Linked DNA regions of Pelodiscus sinensis. The protein of the gene in region 2 interacts with the protein of the main gene of each other region in a pairwise test. Links are inferred from orthologs where the notes say so. Each region holds a gene or a part of one and is shown on either strand. Other genes may lie near its edges.

The links.
Region 1: the proteins of CASK (region 2) and TBR1 interact in a two-hybrid assay, tested with the Homo sapiens proteins (2 studies listed by BioGRID and IntAct). The link is inferred for Pelodiscus sinensis from reciprocal best matches to the Homo sapiens genes CASK and TBR1.

What each region holds. Positions count from the first base shown.
Region 1 is NC_134717.1:34,221,362-34,237,436, reverse strand, and holds the start of TBR1 (T-box brain protein 1), read right to left. Parts: upstream 8,208-16,075; 5' UTR 7,967-8,207; coding exon 7,275-7,966; intron 6,866-7,274; coding exon 6,711-6,865; intron 6,398-6,710; coding exon 6,276-6,397; intron 5,811-6,275; coding exon 5,652-5,810; intron 4,632-5,651; coding exon 4,570-4,631; intron 1,699-4,569; coding exon 855-1,698; 3' UTR 1-854. Other genes in the region: PSMD14 (26S proteasome non-ATPase regulatory subunit 14), read right to left, coding at 14,128-14,226. UniProt on the Homo sapiens protein: Transcriptional repressor involved in multiple aspects of cortical development, including neuronal migration, laminar and areal identity, and axonal projection.
Region 2 is NC_134711.1:194,348,401-194,364,920, reverse strand, and holds the start of CASK (peripheral plasma membrane protein CASK), read right to left. Parts: upstream 6,757-16,520; 5' UTR 6,200-6,756; coding exon 6,141-6,199; intron 5,753-6,140; exon of another isoform or gene 5,738-5,752; coding exon of another isoform or gene 5,718-5,737; intron 1-5,717. UniProt on the Homo sapiens protein: Multidomain scaffolding Mg(2+)-independent protein kinase that catalyzes the phosphotransfer from ATP to proteins such as NRXN1, and plays a role in synaptic transmembrane protein anchoring and ion channel trafficking.

The DNA.
Region 1 (16,075 bases), on a different chromosome or scaffold from region 2:
GAGATGAACAAAAAGGGAAAAAATAATGTTGCTGTAGAGCTACTCCTCTTTAAGATTAAAAAAAAATACAGATGCAGTTACTTGGCAGTTTGAAGGCGTCCCGCTACTTAATCGACTTTCAGACTAGATAGATTTCTATTCTTTTGAGGGTCAAGCACAGACACCCCTTAGCGGTGTCAACCCAGGGCACAGAGTAGTTTATTCCATGCCAGGAATTTCAAGAAAGTGAGAAACCCATTATTACGTGTTAGCTATTTCTATGGGATATCTTGCTTTTCCAGAGGCATTTAGAACAGAGATTGAACTTTGGGGGTCGAGAGAGGAGAAACTGAAAAAAATTAAACATGATCTAGTTTGAGACTTCACAATGGGAACAAAAGAAGTATAATCATTCGTTACAATAAATTAAACACTATGTACAGGCATTTCCACAGGCTTTGTTCCACTAACATCACTAACGTCCCCAACTATCCATCCATGGAAAAGGAAGGAAGCGCTACAGTATATGGTTTTAAGAGTCAAGCATCCTGCTCATCAATGGGATTTGGAGAATTAGTGGGAAGAGTTTACGGCGGAATTGCTGCTTTCTTATATATCAGCGCCAGCACCGGGTGCCAATGAATGTCAAGATCTCCTGAAGGGTTTGTAGGGTTTCTTTACACGCCAGAAAGGGAAACGGGGAGCGAGAATTACAGCTAAAACTCTTTCGGGGGGGGACATAAAAAGAAACAGCTAAAGTTGGGATCAGTGCGCTAACTGCTGAGAAGTTGCTGTGCAAAAGGACTGTTGTATTCACTCGAGAGCGTGGCGGTGGGCGACCGAATGCAAAGGGACGGGAAGGGACGGGGCAGAGTCTAGCTGTGGGAGTAGAAGCCATAGTAGCCGATGTCCTTGGCGCAGTTCTTTTCACAGTCCCTTTGGGTCAGCACTTCGCTCTTGAGGGGAGAGGAGCTCTCCGACACCGGGGTGTCCGAGGGCGAGATCCGCCTCCTCTTGGCCTGCTCGTAAATCCCAGAATCAGTGGAGTCGATGGATTTAATGGACGAGGGGGTCTCGATCCAGCTGGAGTCAGACAAGTCTTTGGGCTTGGAGTCCTCAGCGCCCGGCAAGGGGGATCTCTCGGTGACCAGGCTATCCGCCTCCTCCCCTAGGTACGGGTTGCTGGTGGCCATCCGGGCCGCCGCTGCGCTGTTGGGCCAGCAGGAGAGCATGGAGCTGGATTTGCTGCAGTACTGCGGGGGGCTACGCGCGCCCCATCCCGAGGGGTCGGTGTAGTAGCCCAGCGGCCGCCCCGTGCACCCAGCCGCCTGCAGGGGCAGCGCCTTGACCCCGGCCGCTGCGTAGGACAGCAGGGTGGCGGCATTGCCAGCAAAGTCAGTGGCCGTGTCGTAAGCGGAGGCGGCGAAATCTAAGCGGTTGTTGGCCGGGGTGACAAACCAGCGCTGCGGGGACGGGGCCCCGGGGTCCTCGGCTTGCTGGGGAGAGAGCAGCCCGTTGGTGTGGGGCACGCTGCGGTCGCTGCCCGGCCCCGGGCCAGCGCCAGCACCGGGGTGGAAGCGGGACTTAGCGTAGTTACTCACGAACTGGTCCTGCAGGAAGGAGCCGGCCATGGCGTAGCGGGCCCCGGGCACGATCTGCGAGCGGGGGGAGTCATTGGGGGAAGGCGTGAGCCGGTCCATGTCGCAGCCCGTGTAGATCCTGCCAAAGAGAAGGGCAGAGGTCTGGGTGTCCCTGGGTCCGCTGGAGCCAACGGGACTTTTGTCATTGACTTCAGCGGGACCAGGGCTCTCCCGGCGCTTGCTCCCTGGCTCAAGAAGCCAAGGCAGGGGAAGAACGGCTCGGGACGGAGCGGCGGCGACCCGGGTCACCCTTAGAGACACCCCTAAAATGCAATGCCCAGAAACACCGGGGCAGAAGCGGGGCCGGTCAGGGATGTAAAGAAACCAATTGACCAGGTGGACATCCCTCCACTTCTGGCTCCTCGTGATACTGAATACTGGGGAGGCTATTTGAGGACAGAAGAGTTACAAAATCAGGTGATTTTACACCTGCCATTCGCAAAGCGGATCTCACATTTTACATGTGTCTTAAAAAAATAGGCCAACACAAACTGAAAACGAGTTTGCTCTCACGTTTATATTTAGTAGGGTCGTGACTTCAAGACTGACGTTTCTTGTTTGTATTCATTTAATATCTACAGGTCAGCTAACATCCCACCTTCGTGGATGTTGCCACCTTTTCTGGGACCTTGGGAAATCCTACATTGTTGAAAATTGACCAGTCCCATAATATGCGCAACAGGTAACCTTGTCCATTTCTAGCAAAACAGCATGAATGGCAGACTGAAAATTTATCTCTGCGGTTTGACATTTCTGTTCAAGTCATAAACCAACTAACAGGATTTTACTGAATTTAAATTCAGCTAATCTTCAAACACCTACTTAAGGAATTTTAAAAGCAGATGCGCCCATTTTTTTCCCAATATAGCCTAATGGATGAACAGTTAGTGTGTGCATTTCATTCAGGCTAAAACTGTGCTTTAATTAACCCTCCACGCCTCCTGAAATTACTTACCCAGAACACAGTTGGCCCTTAAACAAATGCCATGTGCTAGACAGCATTTAAGCTCTTTTTAAAGTGACATACATGTGAAATTTATAATGTAAAAGAAAAGAAAGCAGAGACATTTTGTGGTTGGAGAAGTCCAGACGGGTTTTCATCTATGGCCTATCCTATATGTAGAAAAATCTTATTTAAATTACACAGACCACGTCCTCTCTTCTGCATTGCATCAATGACCTATTTTGTATGCTCAGATAGTGAGGTTACTTCTCCTTTGAGGCTCTTATCCAAATCACCAGAACCCCGGTGTTTTCCCTCCGGTCACTTGTTGCACATTGCCTTACATTTGGGGAAAAGGGTGTGAATGAGCTACAATTATATTTCCCAAATAAGAATAAATCTGAGCAACAATCAGCTACTTTACATTTAAGCAAAGCGATCGCTCTGGGGCTTGATCCCAGTTTTAGGCCCGGGTTAAGAAAAGCATTTAAGCACTTGCCTAGTTTTATGTATGTGTATACATCTCGTTATTTTAATGGGGTTTAACTGGTTTGCTGAATAGGGATGGACTTAAGCAACTGCTTAAAATTAAGCACATATTGTAGTGCATTTTTCAGTGTGGGCCTTACTAGACGGCAAATTTACAAACTCCATTGGGATCCGGAGATGGCTTTATCTGTGGGGGCTGTTTCCATCTCCTTAAAACACAAATACGCTTCTCTTACTCAGAAAGAAAAAAAGAAAAAAATCCCCTAAACAGAGAGCCCAACCCTGGCAGGTGGTCATCCCACTCTGTTCCCATTTAATAGGCGCTCAGGCAAAATCAGGGGCGCAAAACCCGTGCGCTTTCCCGAGATGTTTGAGTTCCCCATCTCCCACCAGGTCTTCGAGTAGCATTGGGTTACGGGCCCTTCCCACTCACTCTCTGGATGTTTCTCACTTATAGACGCAAGTGCTAGAGCAGTTTGTTGATTTTATTGCTCTATAGTCACAATAATGGGAGGGGAGTGTGGGATGGCATTAGCCTCATTTTTGCTTTTGCTTTCACTCCACTGTGTTGGGAGGTAGAGGGAAGTACTCAGAAGTAGCACTTCAGCGGGGGTACTCTTAAATAGTCTATCTATTCCAAACCTTCCTAACAGGGACCATTGAGCAGAGTACAATATTTTGGGATGTTCTATTAAATTCCCGAAAAGGAGCAGGAGGGGGCAAACCCCTAAAGTCAAGTGACAAGTTACAAAACATCCCATCATTCGCTCAAAGATTAGACCAATATGCATGTCCGATATGTTTAGGATGATTTTGGATACATTAATAACATATCCTATGGATTTTTTTTCTTTCTACGAAAACATTTCCCATTATATATAACTATCGATATATAGGAGTAGCAAAATAAAAACCAAAAGAAAAGCGAGATAGTGAGAAATAGAAGAATTTTTCTTTAAAACTTTCGGTATAGGATCCTGAATGATTTCAAGAGTCGGTTATATTCAGTAATTTAGCTCCCATAAGTGGTCCTTATTTCCTAGCCTACATACACAGCCTGAATAAACGGGAACTCGAGAACGGGCACAAAGTCATATGCCAGAAAGAACATCACAACTGCCAAAGTCACACGTAGCCTCAGATGCAGGCAGAGGGGGTGAGAAGAGCATCTGGCCCCAGAATGCACAAGGCTGTATTGAATGTGCTAGCCAGCCTCTTCCAGCTTTGCCTCTTAGTAACACATGCGTTCAAATTAATTCGAAAGTTTTTCAAGAAAAATTCTAGCGACAAAAATGAATTTCATTTTTAGTAAGTTACCGAAATCCAGTCCCGACTTTAGAAGCCTGCGTTTGCTTTCTCTTATCTGGGAGAACTTTTTAAAGCTTAATACCTAATATTTCAATGTTTAAATAATTAGGGAGATTTTTAATCCAACCCCAAATACTAAACCAAATAGAGTCTCTACCACTCTACGTGGGCGCATCCGATAAGATGGATAATAAAATACAATTTACTTACGTATCATAATTGTCTCGAAAGCCTTTTGCAAAAGGGTTGTGATCTATTTTCAATTGTGTAATCTGGGAAAGAAAACAGAGGATCAATTACTATTTTTTTCGCACCAATAAATGATGAAAGCATGACAATTGACAAAGTACTTCAGGCACATTTTTAAAGTGGGACTGGTCAATCTTTTTTCATTAGTTACTTCAATTGCCGCTCTTCAAAATATAAAAATTAAGCTTAGCCTATTCATAAAGGTTTTGGTTAATATGATCGATCTTCCAGTTACTGACAAAAAGGTGAAATAATTTTGATTCAGTCTGTTTTTAAATGTAATTGTTCTCAATTAAAGTTTAAATGTAGGATAAGAAATAATGAATATTTTAAGTTGTTTATATTATATTTAAGAGATTATTGTATCTACACTTGTCTTATTCAAAAACAGAACACAACGACTTTTAATGCATGCCATTTAAAGAGAGAGAGAAAAATATCTGACTACACATTAACAGGATTTTATTCAGATTAAAACGTTCCATCACCCCCAACACAGTCAGCAGCATCAGTGGCTCTTTACAAACTTGCTAAAAATCCCATCAAATTAAATGTGCGCTTTTCAATGAAAACAACTATTGGCAAATACACTCTAGTGTTAATATAATACATGCCGACCCGGTTTCCGCTCGGCTTCCTAAGATGTTCACAGTGGAAACTGATGGCTATTGCGCCCCTATGAAATATTCACTCTGTAGTCCTCACGCCAGACTTGTGCGTATTCGTGAGACTAGCCAGGTTCAGTGAAAAGATACAGCAATGTGAGCCACACGTTTGCTCGTGCTCCGATTGGGGCTCACAATTCTTGACAGTTTTAGCCAAAGGTACAGAATTACAACTTCAGGGGTACACATCTAGGTCCTGGCCACATGGATTCTGCCGGGGGACAAAAAGGAACCGGCCTGATTCAATCATATGCCGGCCAGCTCTCTGCACGGCGTCTAGCTGCCTCTCGTTTTGCGGGCACCTGCACAGAGCAAAGCGCTGCTGGCCGGTTGTGGGTGAGGATGGCCGCGAGTGAAATACAGCGCCAAGCTCTTTACATCGGTGTTCTGGTAGGCGGTGACAGCTATGAACTGAGTCTCCGGGAAGGTGAAAGTCTGCACTCGGCCCGGCTGGTTAGTATCCTCCGTCCCGTCTTCGTTCACCTCCACCACATGCAAACGGGGCTGGTACTTGTGTAAGGACTGCAAGACCACCATCTGTCAGGCATAGAAAGGGAGGGGGACAAAGGGGCTCAGAAGCTACACTGGAGCGAGGAGAGGGAGAAAAAGGCGGATATTTCCCGGTATTTTTCCTTGGGAAAGCGTTTGAATAACAAGCCGTGGCCGAGCTGTCAGAGAGGTTGCACTGACTCAACAACGAAGGCAAAATGCATCCCCTAAGACCTCACCTAGTCCCTTTTTAGCAGCATAGCTACAGATTCACCTCACTTCAGAACGCCTGTATTCATGCCCTCACCTCCCATATACATAAACCCCACTCCTGAGCCTGGTCTGGGTTTTGTTGCAGGATTTTGTTTTCTTCCTCGGAAATCATGTACAATTCTAAGGAACAGAAACTAGTATGTTTCACACCAGCAGTCTGATTTAACTTAAGGGTCTGATTTGAATTTTCAGGGTTTTATTGGAAGCAACAAATAAAGAGCGTGTGTGAGTTTCACTGACCTGCCCGTTGTTGTTTGAGGCTCCTTTATTGTTTGTAAGTTTTAATTTCCCAAAAGAGATTTCCTGACGCATCCAGTGGGCTCCAGTGTTGGGGGAATCGGGGTGCATGTACACTCGGTTTCCTAAAGAAACAAATAAATGCGCCACGATTATTACACACACCCGGCTTCCTGCAACTGTAGCAGCACGCACAAGGTTTCCATGATTCGCATTAAACTTAGCAGCGCTTTACCGGCGATGCTCCCTTCGTTTTAACCGGGGAGGATTAAAATAGCATTTTCTGAACACCCTTCACTCCCCCTCCCTCTTCTTATTTTTTTAAGCATCGTTGGCCCATTCTCGTTTAAGAAGTCGCCCGAGCCAGTCCACAAAGGCTTTAATTAACCATTCTCACCTAAATATGTGTCGGGAAAAGTGTTAATTGGAATAACTTGCCTTGTACATTGGTGTCCGCCTTGCCGCAAGGAACCCATTTGCCTCCTTGAAATCTCCAGTGGTTGGGATCGGCCAGAATTACATCCACAAAAATATTGTAATGAGCCGTGGGATCCAGACCAGAAATATTAAAACTTAGGAAAGGGAACATGCGCCTGTGAAAAGAAAACACACACAAACCCCACCAGCACCGCGTTAAGCCGAGAACCACAAGTCACATAAGAGAACATAAGGGCTGCCTGAAAAAGGGATGAGGACAAAAGGAGACGGGAGCCGCTTTGGGGGCTTTCCCTGCAGGGACTGCTGGCCAGGTGGGCACCTGCACCCCATCTCCAGACACCTTGTGCAAGCACATCACGAGCCATCCTAGCAGGCGCCCCCTGTGACCTACCCCGTCCAGCTCCCCATTTTCACGATGGGCTTGGGGGGCTCGATCGTCAGTCACCCCGAATATCTAGCGCAGGTCGCCCCCCTCAAAAGTCTCCGCAGGGTAGAGTTCGGAGTCCCAGCCCCACCACCCGAGTCCAAGCGCTCCGGGCAGCCGCAGCAGCGTGTGCCGCTTACCTCCCTTGTTTGGTGATGATCATCTCTGTCTGGTGCCGGTGAAATTTCAGCCAGAGTGGCCTGTTGCACAGGTAGACCTGAGCTTTGCCGGGCACCAGCCCCGGCTGGGTGGAGGAGAACTGGTAGAAAGGCGCCCCTTGGTAGGAATGGCCGTACTGCTGGGGGTAAGGGTAGCCTGCCGTAGGGTAACCTTGTGGAGAAGAGTTGGACAGGAGGCTGTTGTAAGCTCCATTGGTGATCACAGGATGGTGAGCCATGTAGCGGCTTGGACTGGCGATGGAAAAGGCTGGGTGAGCGGGTCCATGCTGGCTGGGGTAAGGGAACATGGTACTGGGAGCAGCGGCAGCGGACTGGGGCTGGCTGGACTGAGAGAGCAGATAGCGATCTGCAGCAGATCCATCGAAACTGTGACGAAGCTCCGAGACCCCGTCCAAGACGGGAGAGAGTTTATTTCTCTGGACGTCCCCTGGTGTGTCCTTGGAGTCAGGAAAATTGTCTGTATCTGACTGATTCGTCATCCCCCTGGTAATTTTTTTCAGAGGTGAACTTCTCTCCAGGTTGTCAGTGGTCGAGATAATGGGATGATCATGCAAGGCAAGCTCAGATCCGCCTGCATGTGGATAACTGCTGCTCACATTGAGAAATTTCTTGGAGAGCATGATAGAGGGAGAAAGACAATGCTCCAGCTGCATAGCTCTAGCACCAATACAATAACCCTTCAGTCTCTGGTTCTAAAGGGCTCCTCTTAACATAAACTAGACATCCTGGGACCCTCCCGAGGCAGAAAGCATTTCTCCCACCAAACGCTTCCCCAACGTTTGATTTACTTTTTTTTTTCCCTGGGAGAAGAGATTGGCCAATTGACACTATGCAGCAATAAGGAAAGACTCACTTTTGATCTTGCTGCTTGTGGAGCGGATGAAACGGCTCCTGCCATTGGTTAACCGCTGACAGTAATTTAATTAGATAGACATTAATTAGGATAATCACCTGGCTCCTGGTCGCGACGATCATGGCAAATTGAAGGAGATGATTTTATTGTGGGATAGAAGGGAATGGTGGGGGGAGACAGTGTGTTTGCTGTGAGTGCTCATTACCGTGTGACCTTTCGAGCTTTCTGACTAAGGATAGAAAAAAAAACCCAAGGACCTACGATTTCCTAATTTTTTTCCTTTTTGTGAAGAAGGGAAGAGAGGAGATGCTGGGGAGTTTAGGGGTCAGAATGAGCCCAGGTGTCAGCATTCGCTCTGAATGTAACGATTTCATCGTACAAACTGGAGGCCTGATTTCACCTTGGAAGTTCCAGAATGTGGCTTCCCCGTCTAATATGCAGTGCCCAATAACGGGCCGAAATCCTTCATAAAGATAGTCCCCCTCCCCCACCCTCTCCATGTAACTCCCTCCCTCCAAAGGGAACTGCTGCGCTGGAAAAACAAAACGCCCCTGAAACTCCATTCAGGCAGCATATGTACACAGCGGCAATGCATCGTCTCCTTTAAGTTGTGAAATAATGATAAGCCGCACAGCTGAAGAGCCCTAATGCATTTGCAGGCATGTGTACTGCTTCTCCGGTCACTGCATATTTGATCGGCGGGCTGGCGTGCGGGAGACGCTCGGCAAGGCAGGGCGCGGGGACTGGAGCGAGGGCTCCTTTGTGAGAGATTTGTCACAAGCGCTGCGCTCGATTCACAGAAGCACATTGCAGTGTCGCGAGGGCTCCTGTCGATTCAGGGCGGCGCGAGGGGCTGCGTCCCAGACCCCGCTGTTATTACACGAGGCTGACACCTACTGGGAGAGGCGCGCGGTGGCCCAGGCCCGGGCCACTCCACCTATCCGGCGGAGAGCGCTGCAGGGCCGCGGCTTCCGCAGCTGGAACAGCGCCGCTCGGCCCGGCGAATAGGGAGGCCCCATTGCCCCGAGCTCGCTTAAGCCGCTTCCCTCCTCTGGTGGCAGAGCGGGGCTCTCCTGCTAGCGCTCTGCAGATCCAGGGACACGCACCTTCTATCTGGGGAGTGGCTGCAACGCTCCAGGGCTCCTTTCTGTGGACAGGGATGTGGATGGAGACACAAGTTTTGGATCTAGAACCATGCAAATGTGCAGATGTCCATTGAGAGCCAGCCAGCACAGCCCCCTTTATGCAGAGGTGGACACAGATACCCGTTGTGTATCCCCACAGACTCCACAGTTGTGGGCTGGTGTGTGAAGACGCACAAGCAGAGGTGTGACCCACACACCTACTGGATGTGAGTCACTGTCCCATGTAATGGCACTTACACCACATACAGAGAGAAAGGGAGTTTGTCCCAGGGCTGTAGCTGAGAGCCAGCTGGCTTTTAGCTCAAGCTGTAGTGGTTCCTGCACTAAGCTCCAGGGCCCCCAGATTCAGTTCCACCTGTTGGTGTTATAGAGGCAGGGGGCAGAGAGGGAATGAGGGGGCCATCACTGGCATGTCACATGGCTCCTGGTAGGAACTATGGGCTTGGTTTCCCCACCAGATGTCTCTAGCAGGAACCCCTGGGGGAGGGGTGGAGAGGGATGCTGGGCCACAGCCCACCCCAGTTGGTGGGATTGAGCCAGCTGCTCTGTCCAGGCCATGCACTCAGGAGGCAATAACTACAGAGAAGCAAGGGGGTGTCTGTTGCTTGTATAGTTGGTCTCCGCTTTCCTGTTTAACTAGATGTGGTTTGTTGGCGGGGATAAGCTCAGCAAACCCAGGTGTTTGCAGCTCAGGTGTCAGCCACAGGCTGCACTGCAATGTTGGGCAGGGGCCTTGTTTGTCCCCTCCCCCCCATGAAGATAACAGGAGACCATGATCAAGCAATTTGTCTTCTGCCATCCATTTACGCTCTAAGAGGTACCTCTAAGATGGAATATTCCCACAGGGAGCAGGTAGGTGATCAGATAGCAGGTGTGAAATGTCAGGAAACTTTTTTTGGTGTGGGTGGAGGGAGAGATGGACAAGAGGTATATAGTTACATATAGAAGACAAAGCCTTTAATATAAGGAATGGTCCCAATAATTTTAGGACATCTTATCACCCTAGGAGAGAGACAAGCAGGGAGGGAGATTTCTTCTCCCAAGCACTAAGCCTTAGTCTTCTGGGTATGTGGTGCTAACCTGACTGCAGAACTTCTAGCTTAAGGTAATCACACCACTAAGCTTGACAGAGCTTCTTGTAGCCCAGGAGTGATTGAAGCTCAAGTTGGTGATGTTTACACCAAGATCTTTATTCTGAGTGTGGTTTTTCATGGATACACACTGCAGACTAGATCACAATGCAAGCCTGCATTGCTTTCCTCCATTTGAAACTGAGCTGAATCTTCATGAAAATGAATTAAATTTATATTGGGATTGGAACCAAGAGGCCCTTAGACAAAGTACTGGGGAATAGTTTTTGCACCTAGACCACAAAAGGTGTACTTTTAAACCAGAAAAAGGTGATCTCATAATTCCTCTCGGAGGAACTTATGGGTATTCAGCAAATCTGTTTTACTTTGTAAAGTGAAAAGTGAATCTTTAAATCTAGACCAAATGTTTTCCTGAAATATACTCTACAAATTATTTGGTGGAAATTCTATACCCATGAAGGAGGCCAGACTAGATGAGCACAGTGGTGTCTTCTGGCTTTGGACTATATGAATCTAATAAAGATTCTTTAAAGATCTATTTTAATATTTCCTTTTAAAAGGGCACCAACTTGAAAATCTTTTCATCTGAAAGCATACATAATATTGTTGCAAATAGGCTGGAGAAGCAACAAGTGTTTTTTCTGTGAACTTAATAGTTCTTTATATAATCAGCTTCAGCATCTTGCATTTTGTCTCAAGCCACATGATTGCTGTTTTCCAGGTCTACCACTATTGGTGAATCTCTTTCCCCACACTTCACAAGAGTATATTTAATAGTAACATCAGAGAGAGGGGAGGGAAGCTGAAATTAGAAGCACCAGGTAAGTTTAGGCAGAGGAAGACAGTAAAAGAGGAAGAGTGGGGTGGGGGAAGTATTTAGGTATTTCTCTCTCTCCCTCCCCCCCCCCCCCAGGAAAAAATATACGACAGTCATCATGTATCAAGAGTTTTTAACACTAGAGAAACCAAGCCAACAGCTACATTAGTTAGTAGACAGATAGAAATGAAGCATTCAGTAATGAGTTTCAATTTTTGGTTCCCTAACTTAAGTACAAAATTGTGAGCAGAGACAGTTGAGGTAGTCTATTGGGATCTAGTTTATTCAATAAAACCATGTTTTAGAATGGAAGCTGTCATATCATATCTTTAAGTAAATACTTCTAATGAAGTCATTCATGACTTACTCATGTATTACTAAACCAATAGAATTTAGGTATCTGCCATACAGACTCATTGTTAGCATAATATAGATCTAATTCTGTGAGAAGCAATATTTCATGCCAACCAGCTGTAGTTGCTAGGGATGTAAAGGTGTAGTCAATTAACTGATGAGCAAAAGCTTATAGGTTAATGCTATAGACTACATGCATTTCCTCCCACCCCTCCGCCCTGCCCACCCAGTAAATTTTTTAGCAGGCTGGCCAGCAGCCCAGCTCAGTCCTGGCTGGCAATGGGTCCAGGACCTATGCTCACTATGGCTCTGCATTTAAAGCATATTAGGAGCCAGCCCCACTCCCAGGGACTATACAATAGTCAACTAACCGATAAGAACTCATGAGGTTACTAGACTATTCAATTAACCAGTATTTAACACCCTAATAGTTTCTGGTGCTTACTTGTTTTACTAGTACCATGTGCTCCACTATGAAATTGTATTACTGGAAGATCAGGAGATGGGATAAAGACTAGATGAAACAGTGGGAAGGGTTGTACAATTTAGCACATTGAAGCTAATTTATTCAGTAGAGTACATCATTTTACATGGCAACTGCATTTCATTTTGTTGCAAATTGGGAATCATTCAGAAATGGTAACATTTCACTTTGTTAACCCACATAGTTCCTAAATTGGGATAATCAGTGCAGATATGCAGTGGCAGGTGCTGAGGAACTGTCTTTGGGAGGCAGTAGGGGACGTGAATGCATGTGAGAGAGAATCAAACTACCCATCTAGCTCAGCTCCTAATGAAGCTGTGCTCTGCTGGGGTTTAAGAGGCTACCTCAAAATCTTCCCTTACTCCCTCCAAGATAATACTTTGGTCCCTTATCACCATGCGCACCAGCTCCCCCAAACTGCCACACATTCCCTTTCCCATGAAGCTCCTAAATTGCAGGAAAAGTAAAAACTAGAAAATGACAGATGCCTTTTGGGAGTTTGTAAAAGAAAAATTGAGTCAAGCTGATTACAAGCTTGAGAGGTTCCTGCACTAAGCTCCAGAGTCCCCAGATTCAGTTCCACCTGTTGGGTGTTACAAAGCAGGATGCTAGGGACAAATACAGGCTACAGCGGACATGCGACACTCATCATGTCTGTTCCCTTTCAGCTATCCTCATTTTCCCACTGCAAGATAGATCTTCATTCCCACATACCCTCTCAACTTTATACACCAATCCATGGTTCTTTGTAGCAAGAATTATGGTAGAAAATTCTAGTTGCCTTGAATGGTAGTCCTCTATGCAAATAATTTTAAGTTAAAGACCTAAATATAAGAGTTGCCTAATCAAAAAAGTCTGGATGATAATGGAACAAGCTGATTACCACAAGTACTTCTTGCCCTGTATAGAATATTTACTGCATAAAGAAAGTGGCACAGTGAGGCAGAACCTTATGGGGTTATTTCTTTGATACAAGAAGTCACATGAATCACTTCTGAAGCTTTGTATTTAAGATCTGCATTTAACAGGACTTAAACGGCATCATCTGCCTGAACCTATGAATTTTCATTTACATTTCTTAAAACATGATTTCACTAGTTAAAAAGAATACCATGTGCGAACAAAGATGTAAGAGGGATACATTATTATGCTAAAGAACTGAGAAGCTTTTGCAGCTGTGTCTTACTGAAAGCCACCAGCTTGGCTTTATTAACTAGGAAACTCACACATCTTTGAGTGAGTGCTCCCATCTTTACTCAGATTGAAGTGGGAGGAGGAGAGACTCTGACCTCACTATTGTGACACTCAATAGAAATTGATCTCATATTTCATCACTATTTGCAAGGAGAGTTTTTCCTCTGTATTCTACTCTTCAAGCAATGCAATCCTTTCAGAAAATATTCTCAGGTTGTTTGCTATCAGCTATTTGGAGATGGACTTGCCTAAGTTAAGGAGGCTGGAGGTGTGATGAGCATCAGTGCATCAGCTTGTCATTTTCATAAGCATTTGCTTTGAATGGAGTTCTGACATCTATATGGCAATAGTGTTTGAACTTTGACATGAAAAATGTATGTTTTTCTAGAATACCTCAGTGATTAATGGAAGTCATATTTCATTTGTTGTTTTCTTAGCTCAATGTTTCACTTTAAATTTAAAAATGCAAAGCAAATCAGCTTTACCTGCATGAGTACTCTACAATGGTTGTCCATTCTGTGTACAATATTGACAAAAAAAATCGTAAACCAGATAGACTGTAAATGTATTTTTATTATGTAGCAACAATCAAAATATATATGTACTACTGATTTTCCCCCAAATATTAAATGAAAACGTAATACATTTTGCCCACTCTCTGTTCTTGAACTGCTTTGGAATCTGCAAAGACCCTGACAAAGAAACAGAAGTAATTGCACAACAGAGACTGAAAGGTGTTATAGTGCTGCTCTTAGACTGCAAATGATGCCAGATGTCTTCCATTTAACCAAATATACCTTCAGCAGTCTCTAGTTTCCACGTGTTAGAAACAATAGAAGAATATACACAGAAAGCACCACACTAACAGTAAATTTATTATTTAAATACAACTGTATCCAACATAGCTGCTAAACACTGAACAATATTTGAGGTCATCAGCACATCCACATGTTCTTCTAAATGACGTTTGGGGTCCTGAAAATAAATAAATATTAATGTAGGTTAGAGGAATCACTAAAACACGAACACTTCAGAGAAGATTTCAACTATTTGAGAAAACAGTGAGTTAATGGACACTGACAGCCTATTTAAGCCCCCAAGTTTTCCTTCCTTCAAGATACATGTAGTTTTGACTCTGAATTTCTAAAAACCCTGTAGCTCTCAATACTACTCAGAAATGTGTACACGTTAATAAATAAGTGTTCTTCATATTCTGGAAGGATATATAATAGCACGTGTTTTTATACAATTCCATACATAAACGCTACATCTACACTGGCGCGTTCTCACGCAAAAACTCTTTTGCGGAAGAGTTCTTCTGCAAAAACTCTTCCAGAAAAGAGCATCTACATTGGCATGTGCTTTTCCGCAAGATGTGCTTTTGCACAAGAGCATCCATGCCAGTGTAGATGCTCTCTTGCTCAAGAAAGCTCTGATGGCCATTTTAACCATAGGGCTTTCTTGTGCAAGAAATTCATGGTGCCTGTCTACACTGGCCTCTTGCGCAAGAACAGTTGCTCAAAAGGGCTTATTCCTGAGCAGGAACATCAGAGTTCTGGCATAAGAAGCCCTGATTTCATACATTAGAACGTCACTTTACTTGCTCAAGAACACGCGGCCAGTGTAGACAGGCAGCAGGTTTTTGCACAAGAGCAGCCGCTTTTGCGCAAGGGTGCACCAGTGTAGACACAGCCAAGTGAAATCCTGTCTTCAATGAAGTCAATGATAGAACTCTTCCTTGACTTCAGTGGGGCCAGAATATCACATTCAGTATTTTAGCTGCTTTACATTTTAGAAGCTAGGTCAATAAAAAAACTAAACTAATCAAACACTGCTGTAGATCTGACTGCAAAACCTGCAGATTGCTCTGTGTGTGTTAAATTTATCATCAGAGATTACACTTAACTGTTCATAGTAGGGGGACACATTTTAAAGTTTCTGGTGGCATGCACAATGGTTCAGGGGAGGGCATGTGTGTCACGCTAAAAATCCCTCTCCCCCACCGCGGCATTACCTCTGACTATTATTCCATAAACTCAACCAGAGCTAAACAGAACATGCTGCGGGGACCTACCCGGCAGCGCCCCAGCTGCTCCGTCCCAGGCATCCAGATTCAGCTGCTGTTGAAACTGATCAGCGGCTGATTCCAGGAAGCCCGGGGCAGAGAAACTCTGCCTCGGGCTTCCTGTAGTCAGCCGCTGGTCAGTTTCAGCAGCGACTGAATCTGGATGCCAGTTCCGACTTAAGTACAAATTCAACTTAAGAACAAACCTACAGTCCCTATCTTGTACGTAACCCAGGGACTGCCTGTACCCCACATCCGAGTATACCCTGCAGCAGGGGGGAGGCGGGGTTGTAAAAACGAATAAAACCTGTGGGTTATATTAGCTAAATTACGGTAATTGGATAAGAGGGAAGGTCTGCTCGTGGATTGATAACAGGTTAAAAAAGACAGGAAACAAAGGGTAGGAATAAATGGTTAGTTTTCAGAATGGAGAGAGGTAACTAGTGGTGTTCCCAAAGGGTCCATACTGGGACCAATCTTATTTAACTATTTATAAGTGAACTGGAGAAAGGGATAAACAGTGAGGTGGCAAAAGTTGCAGATGATACTAAACTGCTCAATATAGTTAAGACCAAAGCAGACTGGAGAGCTTAAAGCATCTTACAAAACTAGGTGATTGGGCATCAAAATGGCAAATGAAATGTAATGTTGATAAATGTAAGGTAATGCACATTGGAAAAAAAAATCCCAACTATATATCCCAGTGTTTCTTAAACTGTGTTACGTGGCACACCAGTGTGCCGCAGAGAACAAAAGAAT
Region 2 (16,520 bases):
GGGGAGCTGATTTTTAAACTGGCTCCCCTTGCAAACTAGCTCCCACCCGGCACCCCGCACTGCTGCCTCTGACAGAGAGCTGTCCGGACCCAACCTCAGGGACTATAGAATAATTGACTAACCGATAATTTCGGGAGGTTACTTGACTATTCAATTAACCGATATTTAACATCCCTAAAGCTAATTATCTTTTTGCAAGTTTGAGAATGGAAGAATTTGTTTGTAATTTGGTGACTATCAACCACAAAAGTCTGACCATGTAAATTTAAAATTTCTGTAGACCCTCTGGAAAAAACCTTGATTTTTACATTCCCGTTCCTGACTGAAAAGATCCTGAAGGAAGTTTTGCAAAGGCAGACATTTATATCTGTAATGAAAAATGCTTTATTTTTATTTATTTCAAATTGTAGATCTCCAGCAATCTTCTGATGACTTAACTTAAGGCCTTGAGGGTCTACAAGCCATTTTCATGCTATTGTTCTATAAATCAAATAAACTAATCTTTGACCTTCTGCAATAATTCATGTAGCTGAGCAGGAAAGAGAAGAAGAGAAAAGTGGGGTTTGCTACAAATTGACAATAGTCCAATATGTAGTAGTCTATCAAGATTAAAAAGATTATTTAAATGATTTGAACGTATGGCACAAAATACCTACTTTCACCTCAAACCTGGCCTATCAATTTTGAGGACAATATCAGTTTGTGGATTTTAAATAGAGTACCAAAATTCATCTTAAAAAGGAAAAACCAAGTTGTAATTCTAATTGGAATAATCGTTAACTACACATACAATGTACATATGGTTTAAGAATACCAATAATAGCAGAACAATTTATAAGTTGTTAAATAAAAAAAGATTAAAAGGAAAATATTTTTCAAAGTTAATGCTTGAATAATGACTACTGAATATTAAGAAGTGACCTTTGCTACAGACTATATTAGGATTACTATAGACTGATTGCCTTTCACTTGTATCATGAACTCTACATGAAAGATTATTAGACTATAAAAGTCATGAACAACTTTTAGAGCTTTTGGTTAAGGACAAAATACAATGCACCTTTTTTGTACTACTATTTTGTCCTTTGCCGTAACAAGGAGAAAGTCTGAAAAAGGAATGCTTTCTACAATATGGAAAGGAGTCTAATGGCTGGGAAAAGATGCTGTTTAATAAGTACCATTTCAAATATGTAGGTTCTTAGGAGTCAAGGCCAGAATGGACTTTTGATCATCTAGTCTGAATTCCTGCATAACACAGGCTATAAAACTTCCCCACCACAATTCCTATAGCATCTCTTTTTAAAAACATTGATTTAAAAATTGTCAATGATAGAGAATCCACCAAGATGCTGGGTAATTGGTTCCAATGGTTAATTACTGTCACTTAACAATGTGTGCCTTATTTCCATTCTGAATTTCAAGAGCCCCAGCTTCTAGCTATTGGATCCTGTTACACCTTTCTTTGCTAGACTGAGCAGCCCGTCAAATAATTGCTGTCCACGTAGATACTTACAGACTGTAATCAAATCTTTCCTTAACCTTCTCCTTGTCTCGTCAGACACAGCATTAAATAAACATACTATAATGTAATTCTATAATGCAGCTAAATATTCTCTAACAGAAATACAATTGCAAGGTGTAAAAGTCAAACCAAGTAAAAAAAGGGCTATTGTGAAGTTTTAAATAAAACCACCACTATAAGAATTTAAGCAAATGTTTTGTATCTGCCAAATAGAATCTTCAGCTAATTAGATTCTGTTGAAGAAAAAATATACTATTGTGACCTTATATGCTTAAACCTATTTCAAACAACTGACCCATTCATCTTAAACATCTTCTCTGTTGCACAAGATAGGTAAAACATTGCAGAAACAGGTAAAACATTGCAGAAACAGAAGTTCAGAAATAATTAAAAGAAAGCCCCTACAAACATGGCAAAACCTTGCTTCCTCAAAATTATTTCAAGATAAAGTCAGAGTGATGAAACCATTCCTACACCTTACAAAAATCCCAGCCACTTTATCAGTTCCTCAAAAACACAGACTAGGACCTACATTTTTACCAGCTCTGAAATTGGATCCTATTACAGTAGATACTAAAAGATCACTGTAAATGCTTTATCTGATATCAGATAAAGAATGATACTTGGTACCTGTTCCAAAACATCAACTATCTTGCCATTTCTCAAAGCTAGAAAAGTAGCATATATCTGAATCTTCTTTTACCAATCCTTTCACATAGCTGCAAGTGTGACAGTATCATTCAATACTGCAACAGTTCTCAGAACTGGCACAGTAGTATTATAGGCAGAAAGATGCAATTGCTTTTTTTGCACCTTAGATTTATTTGGGGGAAGAGAAGTTGTTTTAGATCTTTTTTTATTGTTCAGTTTTAGATTTCCTTTAATTTTGTTTAAAAAGTGTCATTACATGCCATTGGGGTTTTTTTTTAAACCATCCTTTTTATGTTTCACACACTAAAAGATACCAGTATAAGTAGCAGAAAGCATACTGAAAGCCAGCAATAGTGTTCTCAGCCTAGTGCAAGTAAAAAACAAAATGAAAACATGAAGCGACATTAAACTGAGTTATGTAAAGATTCTCAGATCTGAATAGTTAAAGTCATTAGTAACACAAGAGGGCTTTTTAAAAAATAATATTTTAATCTTGCCAATGTAAATTTAATATGAATTTACTGCAGTGTAAGGCATTAGACTGAAATATTTACAGTTAAAGCATTCTGACTGCAGTTACTTACGCTGATGTCTATGAAAGCAACCTGTAGTCTATGTTGTTGTGAACATCAGACAGTCTCCATGTTACCATTAGATGAGTGCCATAAATCAATGTGAACCTTAGAAGCCTAGAAAATCAAAGCTGAAACAAAATCCTTACCCAGCAAGGACTGAAAACAATACTGAATATAAAATACATTTTTTGATCTTGTGTGTTCTATACCCATGTTCCCTCTTCCACATTAAAAAGAAACCAGATATTATTTTTGGCCTCCAAACACTGTATCACATTGTATTGGCCTCCAAACACTGTATCATATTGTATAGAATGAGCTCAATTATTTTAATGGCAAAATTCTTCACCCGTGTTAAATTGTACACAAACTACTATATGCTATGTTAAGTATTAAGGTTTTTAATTAAAAATGCATGATTATCTCTGATTTATAAATCTAACTAATTGTCTCACTAATGGAAGGAAAACATAGCATATGCCCCTCTCAACAGCAAAGAAGAGTTGCTTCCAAATAAAGCAAGACTTAAAGATTTGTCTATAACTGATCATGTGAAGGATCACATGAGTACTTGCTAATTCTTCACGCTACTCAGAGTACAAATGGATGTGCACAAGGTTGTCAACAAATTCAAGACTTAACGTAGGACTCGCATGGTAACACAACCAATGGCATCCTAAAGGACACCACTGAATTTTATGTGAAAGGTGAAAAAGTTTAACAATGTATAGAAAATTCATAGTTCGGATTATTTTTTCTATGTAATACATGTTTCACTTTAGTGATAAAGAAGTCTATTACATTCATAAAAGTGTATCTATTCCTTCACTGTCCTTACATTCCTTTCCTCCAATATCCATCTTACATGCCTATTAACAGAACTTAAGCATGGGAAACACTACTTCACTGTTCTCTGGCTGTTTATTATCACAACCTTGATTTCAACCAGTTAATTAGTATGAGATTACAATACAACACATCCAAACAGTTTAAGCAACTAAGAATACTACTCTGTTCAGATAAGAATTGCTTATTTTATTTTACCTGTGTACTTTTTCATTAAAATTTTATTTACCTAGAGTTGAAAAGACGACAAACACAGCAAAGAGCACTTGTGTATGTTACTCTGAGATTTAATCTCCAAGCTAAACCGGGTTTCCAGATGAACATTTCAAAAATATAAGGATATAGGTCTAAGATTTGTTAAACCTCCAAAGCTGTGTAATACATGAACACTACCATTCTCCTTTTCAGAGAAAAAACATGTTTACAGGGAGCCTATATAAGATGGCAATGGTAGCAATATTTCATGTGTCTTCAATGCAAGCCAAGGCCAGGTATGCTATTTTGCAAGAGCTGAATTACTGTAGCAATCAGTAATAAGTCACAGGAATGTGCAGACATTTAGTTGCTGTTTAATTGGAACATGCTTAGCAAGATGCATATGCAGCAATACAAATCAATTTTACACTAGCCTTCCTCAGATTGCTCGAAAATGAATAAACTACACACATCTGAGATAGAACAAAGTAAGAAACTACAACTATAGCTCCCAACAGGTATATTTGAGATATTATTCAAGTGAAAATAATGCCAATAATACAAATAATGGAGTTATTTAAATAGTCTTTAAGAGCAATGATATCTGACCTCTACAAAAAAGAAATAAGTAGTCATAACTAGTTAGCATCCCTGACAGCATGACAATCCAACCTATTTTTTGTGACATTGCTGTGTCACTTTTAACACTATTAACCCACTTACATCACAAAAACATTGGTTTACAGACCACATGAATCAGAAAACTATTTAGAAAATTTAAATAATGTATTTGCACACAAAATAAGTCATTTTACAGTGTTGGCTATAACCACTAGACACATATATTATGCCTGTTATGCCCTTTTTACTACCCATAACTATGTATGAGTACTACAATTCACACACAATACTATCACCTGAAGAAATCTTGTGACAACACAACACATGATCAGAAAATGTTCTTCCTACTGGTATTAGTTTTGTCCAATTTCTTAACCATAGCTTTTTACCATCTGATCAGCATTAGTTAAGCCATTTTTTCTGCTATCCAACAAAAGCTTCTTTAAAGCTTTATAGCTGACAAGGTGTCTTATAAAGGCAATAGGTGCTGTTAAGACAATTGAGCCCTATAATAAACAATAAAATGAAAAGTGATCAAATATTTGTAGTTAAGAACAAAGAAATCTGATCTTAAGACTGACATGATTGTTTCCTCAGAGTTACACTGTCATTGGAGAAAGATGAGTATTTTAGCTCTAGTTTTCAAATCAAACAATTACTGACATTTAAGGTAAGTCATATTGCAAAACATTAAAAAAATAAAAGAACACTTTTTTTTTAAATCAAGAATATATTGTAACTAGTGATCCTTACACAAGGCTTCTAAAAACAGTGAGCAACAAAATGAAAACAGTTTCACTGCTGAAACACCTACAACCTCAATTTTCGAACAAGAAATATGCATAAAATTAGGAAGTTATAAGACTGCAAATATGGTGCATGTCCTTTTCATATCCATTTTGCAACCAAAACATCTATGCCCTGAAGATATGAAATGTGAGAAGACTGATAAAATGGGTTTCAATACTGGACTGTCACAGAAGAGGGGGAACTTCAGCTTCAATTTTCCATCAACGTCCCGATCAGACTGAGTCTCTGCATTTTTTCTAGTATAATTACCCAACACAGATCGATAAAAAAAAAGGTGGAGGACTCGAACTGTCAATTTCAATACATCCTACCCCACTGGTGAACCATCAGCGGTGCCACGTTAACAGCTATCCCAACTTGGGTGTGATGCACGCCTTCAACATCGGTTTAACAGCAGTTGCATAATAAGCCCCCAAAAGGCCAAATTCTTTTCCTGCGTCGTTGTTCCGAGCGGGCGGTGGGCAACGCAAGGGGCTCACACGGGAGCTGAGCATTACCTGAGTATCATCACCGGCATTGCCACTAGCGAGCTGGTTACTATGCAGCAAAGCACAAGCAGGCACCTGGCGCCCCAACGCGCAGATGCCCCCACGGAGAGGCGGTTCTACGGAGGAGCCTTTCCCTGCTCCACAGAGCCGGGCTGGGGAAAGCGGCGGCTGCTCTCGGCAGCCTGGCTGGGAGCCGGGGAGCGCGGCGGCCGGAGGAGAGAGACCGGGTCGCTGCTCCCCTCCGCGCCCATGCTCCGAGAGGCGGGCGCCGCCGTGAAGCCACTGCGGCCGCACGTAGCGGGGGGAGCGGGGGACACACGGGCACGGCGGCGGCGGCTCAGGTGGGCGCCGAGCGGAGCATCCCTCTCCCCGCGCGCAGGGGCCGGGCCGCTCGCTGCTGCTGCCGCCGCCCCCCGCCTCCGCGGAACTTACTTGCCGATCACCTCGCAGAGCTCGTACACGTCCTCGAACAGCACGTCGTCGTCGGCCATGGTCCAGGCGGGGGGGGACCCGCCGGAGAGGCGGCCCGGGGGAGGGGGGCCCGCGGGCACGATCCCCTCCGCGCTCCCCGTCGGGCACCACCTTCGATCCCAGCCTCCGCCGCCGCCGCCCGGGGGCTCCCGCGGCCACGCCGGGAATCCCCGCTCCTCCTGCGGGCCGCGGCCGCCCCGCGCGCCTCACGCTGGCTCCGGGCTCCCGCGGCCCCGCCCGCTTCAATCGCTCGCTCGCTCCCTCCCGCCCTTCGCCGGCCGCGGATCCGGCTAGCGGGGCGGAGCGGGCACCATGCAGGGGCCGGGTAGCGGAGGAGGCGGTGCGCGCGCGCGAGAGAGAGGGGGGGAGGGGAAGGGGAGGCAGGCGCGACCCCGAGCCGCACTCCGGGGCTAACGGCGGCGATAAAGCGCTTTACCGGCCGGCCGGCGGGCGCGCGCGCCACCACGGCCACTTCCCCAGCCCCGTCACGCAAGAGAGCAGGCGCGCGCGCGCGCGCCCCCCACCAAGCAAGCACGCGGGCACCTTCTTCCCTCCCTCGCCACAAACGCGCGCAGAGCCACGCCCACTATCCCCCCGGGAAAACTGGGACTGGGCGCTGTGCGCAGGCGCGCCGCGGTGCCACATGACGTCATGGGGAGGGGTCGAGCAGGGCGGAGGGGGTAGGCGGGTTCCCATGTGAAGCTCGGGGCGGGGCCATCCCCCTGCCTAGTTTCTGAGGCAGGAGGCGCGCGCTGTGTGGCTCATTGAGGAGCGGGGAGGGGGGAGTCGTAGGGCCGGGAGGCCGCGCCCAGAACCCGCCGTGGGACCAAGGCGCTTGTCGGCAGCAGCGGCCGCGTGCGCTCAGCGCCCGGGGATAGTAGAGCGGCGCGGGGAGCAGCTGCCGTAGGGTGTCTCCGCCCGACGCGGGGGTTTGACGGGCGCAGCTTGGCCGGGCGAGGAAGTAGCCAGCCAGCCAGCCAGACGGACCGTGCAGCAAGTGCTGGCGGCGTCCCGCGGGAACAGCCCGAAGGGAAGAGGAGAGAAGACCTTGCTAATCTCACTCTCAATGACTGCTGCCAGGTGGCAAGGAGGTTCACAGCGACGTGCAGTCGCTTTTAAGGTGGCAGCCCCGCCTCTCGCCTTTGCTTGTCAAATGCTTTGCTCGTAGTCCAGTGAAATGAACGTTTAAAGCGCCATTCGTTTCCCAGTCCACAAGTTGGTCAATATCGTTTCTAGTAACAATCATGCCAGCAGTTTCAGCAGGAATGTATAGAACCTCGTTCCCCTAAAACAGGGCACAGTGGAGCCCTTTTAGTTATAAAAGGGGAAAAGTCAACCTCTCCAACTCAGGTTTCATCCAAATATGAATGGTTGATAAGAATTGATCACTGATAAGAACTGATCATCTGAAGAAGTGGGCTGTGCCCACGAAAGCTCATCATACCATCTACATGTTTGTTAGTCTATAAAGTGCTACCAGACCATTTGCTTGCTGTTTTTCACTGATAGGGAGCCATAAACTGCACAGAACTGTGTCAGGCTGCATAACACTGATAGTATCAGAAATATATTCTGATGTAAAGAGAATGCTAGTGAGAATGTGACAAAGGTGTACATATTTACTTTCTCAGTCTCAGCGAAAAATACATTGTGGACCTATTCTGCATCTTAAAACAGTAAATGTCTGACATGGTCTGGTGCTTGTCAGGAGTTTCCCAGTCAGTTCCGGAGACATCAGCAATAAACCCATAATAAGAAGCCTAAGTAATTCCTAGACTGTATCAAATAACTCAGTCAACTGGGCTTGGAAGTATGAGATGTAGCATGGTAGTCTGTGGAGTATTACTACTCCATTTCTCAAATGCAAGTCAGAATCCTCTCAAGTCCAATACAAATGAGATGTCTGTATCACCACCTTAACACTCCTGTTCCATAGTGAACCAAATCAGCTAGTAATAGAAATGTAGCTGTGTTAGTCTGGGGTAGCTGAAGCAAAATGCAGGACTAGATAGCACTTTAAAGACTAACAAGATGGTTTATTAGATGATGAGCTTTCATGGGTCTGGCCCACAAAAGCTCATCATCTAATAAACCATCTTGTTAGTCTTTAAAGTGCTACCTAGTCCTGCATTTTGCTTCAAATCAGCTAGGACAGTCTTGCACGCTCTCACTCACACACACACACACACTCTTGCACGCGCGCGCTCTCTCTCTCTCTCTCTCACACACACACACACACACACACACACACACACACACACAAAAAATCCAGAGGTTGATTTGTGATTAAGCCATAGATGATGATGATTTTATAGAACAGCATGAACTAGGACGAACACCTACAGTCATGTTGCTCACATGCCTGGTCTCCCCATGTAGTGCAGCTAGCCCATGTTTGGACATTGCTGTTTGGTGTGATCTAATGCATTGAAAAATAAAGATTTTTGCTCTTCAAAAGCATCTGTAAAAGGCAGAGCTAAAAGACAATCTTGATAGGGACTGTTTGGCAGTATCAAAAGAGGAGGAGGAACTTCTGCATGTGAAGTGCCCCTATTTAATAGGGAACATTATTTTAAAGCTGTGTACTTGCCATTCCTTTTTGCCTTTCCCCCATGAACTATACCCATGTAAACAGTTTAGTCTAATATTTTAAATAGAGTTAAAAGCCAAGGTATGTTCTTATTTTTCCTGTCCCCAATTTTTATGTTGATCATTTTAGATTAAATTATACAAATTGAAGTAAATCTCTTCCATGCTCCATCAACTTAAGCATTTTTTTAAACCAGTGAAGTTACACAAAGTTATGGCTAATAAACAAGCTGAACTTTATTTTGACCATGTTTTTTACCATTATCTTAAACATGTCATCACTGAATTAAAATTATGTAGCAATATTGTAAAATAAGAATTTAAAATCAGGACACCTTCATAAAAGTTATACACTGATTTTGAAAGAACCTATGAAAATCACTCCATAGGGACTCGGACTCTGCTTTTCTTTCACACTTAACACTCCCATTGGAGTTTAGATGCATAAAAAAAAATGCCGGGCTTTTGGATGCATAAAAAATTTGCCAGAGCTCCTGCTCAAGAAGAGATCCTACAGAAAGTAATTTGGCTATTAGCATATAGACTGGCGGGATGCATATTTCCACCTTCTGTCATCATTTAAAGAAGGAGTTCTCAGTCCTAGATGAGATTTTGTTTAAGGCATCAAGATAGAAAAATATGCTTAAAAAGATACATTGAGGTCATTTGAGAATCAAAAAATCTACAAGGACGACCTGGGACATAACCAAGAAAGCTGTTAAGACTTGTCACATATGCCAAAAATATAGGTCAAGTCAAGCAAAAGAGCCCATGTTGGTAGCCCAGGAAAAACTGACACCCAGGAACAAAATAGGAATAGATTTGTTTATATTCACTGGAAAAAAATATGTTCTTGTTTTAGGCTTTTTTTCCTCACTTCCCTGAGATAAGATTACTAGAAGAAACTACAGTCAGTAAATCCCCTAGACTGGGAAGCAGATTTTTGCTAGACTCAGTATGCCTGACATGGTAATATTTAAAAAGTCTCAGGGAGGTAGTCTGGAACTTTAAAAACAATGAATAATCTTGTGTCACTTTAGAGACTAACAAAATATATATTATCATGAGTTTTTGTGGCAAAACCACACAAGGCGCCTCTGTTAATCTCTAAAATGACATAGGGCTACTTATGGTAATGTTTGACAACGGACCGCTCTTCCCTGTGTTCTTGCAGTATTATTTCCACTGCTTCAATATTTAAAGGTGATTGCATTTCCTGATGTAACATGGTTTTGTCCGAGGGGTCCCCTACAGGATGGGGAAGATCAGGATTTGGATGAAAAAACCCACCTCTGTGATTTCCAACATCTCATGGTCAATAGTGGCGATGTTCTAAATCCCACAGAACTGAAATAAATGATTCCCTAATCATTAGGGCCTAATGGAAGGGATATAACAGGAGACTCAGCAAAATTTGCATGCTGCTCTTGACCAATGTGTCAAATCTTCTACCTGCCACCTTGACGATGAGGCTGGCATGAAGACATGGTGTACAGACAAATTATTTCCTCCTTTGAGATTTCTGATGTTTTCTGTATGGTTCAGATGTATAATGACTTCCTCTATTGTGGTTGAAGCATAAAATGTTTCTGCTTTTGTGTAGACTACTGTGGACCACAATCTTGTCTGAGAGTGTAAAGCATCATCTGTCTTTACAATAAAAACTTCAGTTGTAACTTGTAGCCTCTGATAACTGGACCTGCGAGGTTTCTTTATGACGGTTGCCAGGGTTTTATAAACTTTCAGCAGCACCCAGGGCCACAAGAAGGGATATATCGGGGTCAGCAACCTTTCCAAAGTGGTGTGCCAAGGTTTAACCCTCCTGCCCTGGGCTGTGCCATGCTCCCGGGGCAGGGGTTGTCTACACTGTGCACCCTGTGGACCACCTTAGTCAATGCAAACCTTTCCTGGACTACCTGTTGCTAATGAAAACCCACCATTAATTACATAATTACACCCGAGCCATTTTGCTAGTGCTGCAGCTGTGGAGAAGAGTTTAATTTAAATTATTAAACAGATTAAGCATTTTAACTTTCTCATGTAAGTTTATCAAATTTCATTTAAAATAAAGTAGAATATTATGTCCAATACAAAAGGTTTCAATGTTTCTTTATTTATGGCAGGGTGGGGAACCTTTTCTGGGTTGGGGGCCCCTGACCCACAGGAAAATCAGTTGTGGACCACACAAGTGAGAAACAAAAAAACTCTTCCCCAACCCTCACTGATGTGGCCCCCAACTGACACACCTCACTCCTCTGGTGCTCCAGCCCCATAGGGTGAGGGGAAGGGGCAGGGAGGACTGAGGTTCAGGGTTTCCCAGAGGCAAGATTTACTTTTCTGGGGTTCCAGAGTTAGTGGATTTTGTGGGGCCCCTTATGCTCTGGGATGGGAACAAAAATGAGAGGTTCAGTGTGTGAAACAGGGCTGCCAGCAGATGGGTTAGGGATGCAGGATTTGGGTGGGAGGTGTGGTGCAGGACAAAGTGAGGATGTCAGGGTCTGGAAGGGAGTTTGGCTGCAGGAGAGCATGTGGGTGGAGGATACAAGAGGGAATTTGGAGGCAGGAGGGGGAGTAACGCAGAAAAGGTGAGAGGGTGAGAATGCAGCCAAATAGCTAGTTGGGGACAGAGGCAAAGAAGTGGGGCATAAAGGAAAGTGCAGCTTCTGCAAAGTACAATTGTATTCCCCCCTCACATCTTCCCTCTGCTCCAGCCTCGCACCCCTCAGCCCTCTGGTCCCGCCCACCCCCAGCTTGCTCCCCTGCATTGCTCTATGCCCCTAAGTGTAATTCCTGCCCCCTCCCATCCTGCCCCACATCTTCCTTCACCCTCCTCCTGCCCCCACATTGTTGTGCTCCCAGCACACTCATGAGCAGGCAAGCAACGCTGGAACTCACAGCCCCTGGGAGCAGCACTGGGGTGAGCAGAGCCCGGGGCTGCCCAGGGCTGGCTTCAGCCTAGCCAGGCACAACAGTGCACTGGGGAAGGGGCTCCCCAACCCCGCGTACAGTCCGCTGGGAGCAGCATGGCGCACCCTGGACCCAGCACGCCACATGTGACCAGCCAACCAGCAGAGCAGGCCCAGCCCCGCCTCTCCTGAAGCAAGAAGCCTGTAGTGCAGGAGGAGGGGTTAACCCCTTAGCTCTGAGGTGCTGCAAACCCAGGCCTGGCAGGGGCAGCCCCAAGGACATGCATGAACCTCCAGCAGGAGGCTGGAGCTGCAACATGAGCTCCCTGCTCCATGGGAGGAGGAGTGGAGCTAAGCTCCCACCCCGCGTGCTAATCAAAATCGTCTTATGGGCTGCTTGTGGCACGTGTGCCGAGGGCTGCCAACCCCTGCCGGATATATGAACCTCAAGCTGACCTTTGAAAATCAAGGTTTGAAGTGCCTCTGATATATTGAGTCTTTTGATGAGTTTACAGATGAAATCCCAATTTCAATTATATTTAACTAATAAGGATTACTAACTGATGACTAGACATAGAATTTTTCTCCCAGTCATATAAATCTAGCTCTTGAGCTCCCTGTCTTGAGGTGTAGCTTTCTGTTGATTATGTCTACACAGTACAACCAGTGACCCAATCATCTTTAAAAATTGCTCAGGGCCCTGGAAAAGCACTTTGTAGCAATGATCAGCTGTTTTTGCTGTTTGTGTCAAAGAACCACACATCTGCCAGAGTGACTTAGCTGGCTCTCCACCCCCTCATTGATGGGCACTGCAAGATATCCAAGCACAGAAGTGTGAAAGATGTCCAGAAGCTTATGCAGTTTTTCCTGATCCTTTTCTACTGGCATTGCCAGTGGATCTGCCTTCTAATACAGCAAGTCCAGAAAGTCTTGTTCTCATCTGAATTAAATTAGATCAACAGTTCTCAAACTGGCGTTAGACCTGCTGGGACCTTAGGTTGAAGCCAAACCCTGATGTGCGCCTCTCAGGAATACCAAGGGCTTCAGCCCTAGATGGGAGGACTCAGGTTACAGGCCTCTCCACTGAGGGCAAAAAGCCTTGGGCTTCATCTTTGGAACTCTGCCCAAAGTGGTAGGTTTGGATGGGCTCAGGCTCCAATCCCCGTTTTTTCTTGTCAGAAGGAGGCTGTGGTGCAATGAAGTTTGAGAAAGCCTGAGAGAGATAATATGGGTTCCACAGCATCACCAGGAGCTAAAGAAATAGGTCAGGATAATTTTCTGACTAGGTCTCCTCATCAACATTATGACAAGTCTATTCAGTGGGCAGTGGGGCAGAGTCTCTTACTATAATGCCTTTTTGTGAGCTATTAAAGAAATAAATCTAGCTCTGGATTAGGAAGCAGATGTTAGCTTTCTAGTTTGGCCTATGTAGGACTGGATGTGACCCACAGGTATTGCAAGCAACCTAATCATGCAATTCATTTAATACATGTATCAATGTATCATGAATTTTTATTTTTACTAAAACTATGTACAGGAAAGTGTGGAGTTTGACCATTTTTTGAAGTCACTCTTTCCATTTCAACATTTAAAAAAAAAGGTGGGTTCTCCTGTGCAAAATGACATTTTGTTTACAAATTTAAGATAATTATAGTTGTGAATAAATGGTTGAAATAAGTAATCATAACCAAAAATGAACTGTTTCAAGACCCAAATCAACATTTTTCCCCCTCAAATTTTTGGTTCATGAAAATTTAAGATAGACTAGTTGCCCCAGTTCAGGATGGGGACAGGGCCATCCTTACCTATATGAAGAATACAAAGTTGTCTCAGGAACCCAGAAATTTGAGGCATGGGATGTCTTAGGGCATGTCTAGACTACAAGCCTCTTTCGAAAGAGGCTTTTTCAAAAGAGCTTTTTTGAAAAGGCCTCTTTCGAAAGAGATCGTCTAGACACCCACAAGACTTTCGAAAAAGCGAGCTGCTTTTTTGAAAGAGAGCACCCAGGCTATCTGGACGCTCTCTTTCGAAAAAGCCCTGTTTGTGTTCAAGAATGCTTTTTTTTGAAAGGGCTCTTTCGAAAAAAGGAGTTCTTTCTCATAAAATGAGGTTTACCGCAGTCGAAAAAACTGCTGCGTTCTTTTGATTTAATTTCGAAAGAACACGACAGCAGTCTAGACACAGGTAACGTTTTTTTTGAAAAAAGGCTACTTTTTTTCAAAACTCTGTAGTCTAGACATATATCCACCCATCTGCCTCTTCCTATTCCTGTTCTGTGGCTGTTAGAGTCTGATGAGTCTTCTTCCAGAGATGAACTAGTTAACTTAAAAGCGAAATAGCCTTCTAGCAAGTTTATTAGCAGAACATTCAAGTGGTAATGAAGCCAATTAACAGGTATATACTGTCAGTTTTTAAATGTACTGTTAGTCTACAGGACCTTAATTTCACATTTGTTTTAACATATTAGTGTGTTGCTGGCTATTATAAAATCATATTTTTAAAAATTGTTCCTCTCCTCCTGGGCTATCATTGGGTATAGGAGCATGACTTTAACAGTACAGGCAGTCCCCGACTTACGCGGATCCAACTTATGTCGGATCCGCACTTACGAACGGGGCTTTCTCGCCCCAGAGGTCGGGGTGAGAAAGCCCCGTTCGTAAGCTGCTCCGGTGCCCCTGGTCTGCTGGAGACCGTCTCCAGCAGACCAGGGGCACCGGGCGGGTTCCCGCGCTTCTGAGGCTTTGCCAGAGCAAAGCCTCAGAGGCGCGGGGAACCGCCGCTGCTGCCGCTTCAGTCTGGGTGCCTGTGGTCTGCTGGGGACGGTCCCCAGCAGACCACAGGCACCCAGACTGAAGCGGCAGACTGAAGGCACCCAGACTGAAGCGGCAGCAGCGGCGGTTCCCCGCGCCTCTGAGGCTTTGCTCTGGCAAAGCCTCAGAGGCGCGGGAACCCCCCGCGGCTGCGGGTTCAGTCCGGGAGCCTGTGGTCTGCTGGGGACCGTCCCCAGCAGACCACAGGCACCCAGACTGAAGCCGCAGCCGCGGCGGGGTCCCTCGCCTCTGAGGCTTTGCCAGAGCAAAGCCTCAGAGGCGCAGCACCCCGCTGCGGCTCTGCTCCCCGTGTCCCTGGTCTGCGGGGGGGGGGGGGGCGCAGCTAGTGTGCTCCCCCCCCTCCCAGCAGACCAGGCTTTTGTTTTGGACTCTGGGGCAGAGCAGCTGGGGCGCTGCCGATTGGTCCTGCAGCGCCCGCTCTGGGCACTACTGGACCAACCCGGCAGCACCCCAGCTGCTCTGCCCCAGGTGTCCCCAAGTCAGCTTCTGCTGAAACTGACCAGCGCTGACTACAGGAAGCCCCAGGCAGAGTTGCTCTGCCCCGGGCTTCCTGGAATCAGCTGCTGATCAGTTTCAGCAGCAGCTGACTTGGGGACGCCTGGGGTTCTTAAGTTGATTCTGTATGTAAGTCAGAACTGGCGGTCAGTTTCAGCAGTGTCTGAATCTGGACGCCAGTTCCGACTTACATACAGATTCAACTTAAGAACAAACCTACAGTCCCTATCTTGTACGTAACCCGGGGACTGCCTGTATTGTGTAGGGTCTCATAAATCCTAAATATGGCCCTGGATGGGGAAGGCTTCAATAAGGTGAACATTTTCATGGGATAGAAAAAGCATTTCCCACCTATCTCTACCCTACACTCTGAATATTTAGACCCCAAATAAAAAAATATCAGAGTTGAAGAAAGAGAAGACATACTGCTCTTGAAAAAAAGTAGTAGTTCCATCTGGGGTATTGGGAGAAACAACAGACTGTGCTCTGATTGGTATCACTGATGTGCTTGGTACTAATGGAGGAACAGCAGTTACCAGACATAACTTCACTACTGTGAACAGCTGGGAGTCCACTACTGAAGAAACTATGGACTAGGTCCTTTGAAGTCATGTAGGATTTTGGCATCAAGTAAGTCAAATGTTTAGATGGCATTAATACTGGGGCAGTCTCTACCACTTAGCTCTAGTACAGGGCTTTTGGTTCCAGGGAATTTGTGTGATACAGCGGAAACTGGGTTAGATTCACAGTGACTGGTACCTGAATGGTTGCCAGAAGGACCCATCTTGGGTCTTAAGCTATTATTTTTTGCTAAGGCTAAGTCTACACTGGCACTTTACAGTGCTGTAACTTTCTGGCTCAGGGGTCTGAAAAAAAAATCTCTGCACCCGAGTACAGCACTGTAAAGCACCAGTGTGCACTACGCTACAGTGCTAGGAGCTGTCCTCGTTGGCTACTGACCTCATAGACGTAGTTTACATAGAGCACTTGGAAATCCCTCTCCCAGCGCTTGTGCCATGGCCACACTTTGGCTATGTCTACACTCGCAGCTTCTTGCACAAGAACATTTTGCGTAAGGATTCTTGTGCAAGACATCTTACGCAAGAAAACGTCCACACTGCCATGTGTGTGCTGTGCTTTTGCGCAAGAGTTCTCATGGCGGTGTGGACACTCTCTTGCGCAAGAAAGCTCCGACGGCCATTTTAGCCATAGGGCTTTCTTGCGCAAGAAATCCCTGCCGAGCGTCCACACTGCCCTCTTGTGCAAGAGCTCCTGCGCAAGAGGGCTTGCATCTGTTAAAAAAGAGCTTAGCTCTTGCGCAAGAAGCCCTCTCTTACCACGCTGTACTGTAGATTTCCTTGCGCAAGAGCGGGTAGGCAGTGTAGACGCTCTGCAGATTCTTGCGCAAGAATGGCCGTACTTGCGCAAGAAGCCGCGAGTGTAGACATAGCCTTTCAGTTTAAAGTGATGCCGTGGCTACGCTTTAACTGTAAAGTGTAGACAAAATAAAAAACTAAACA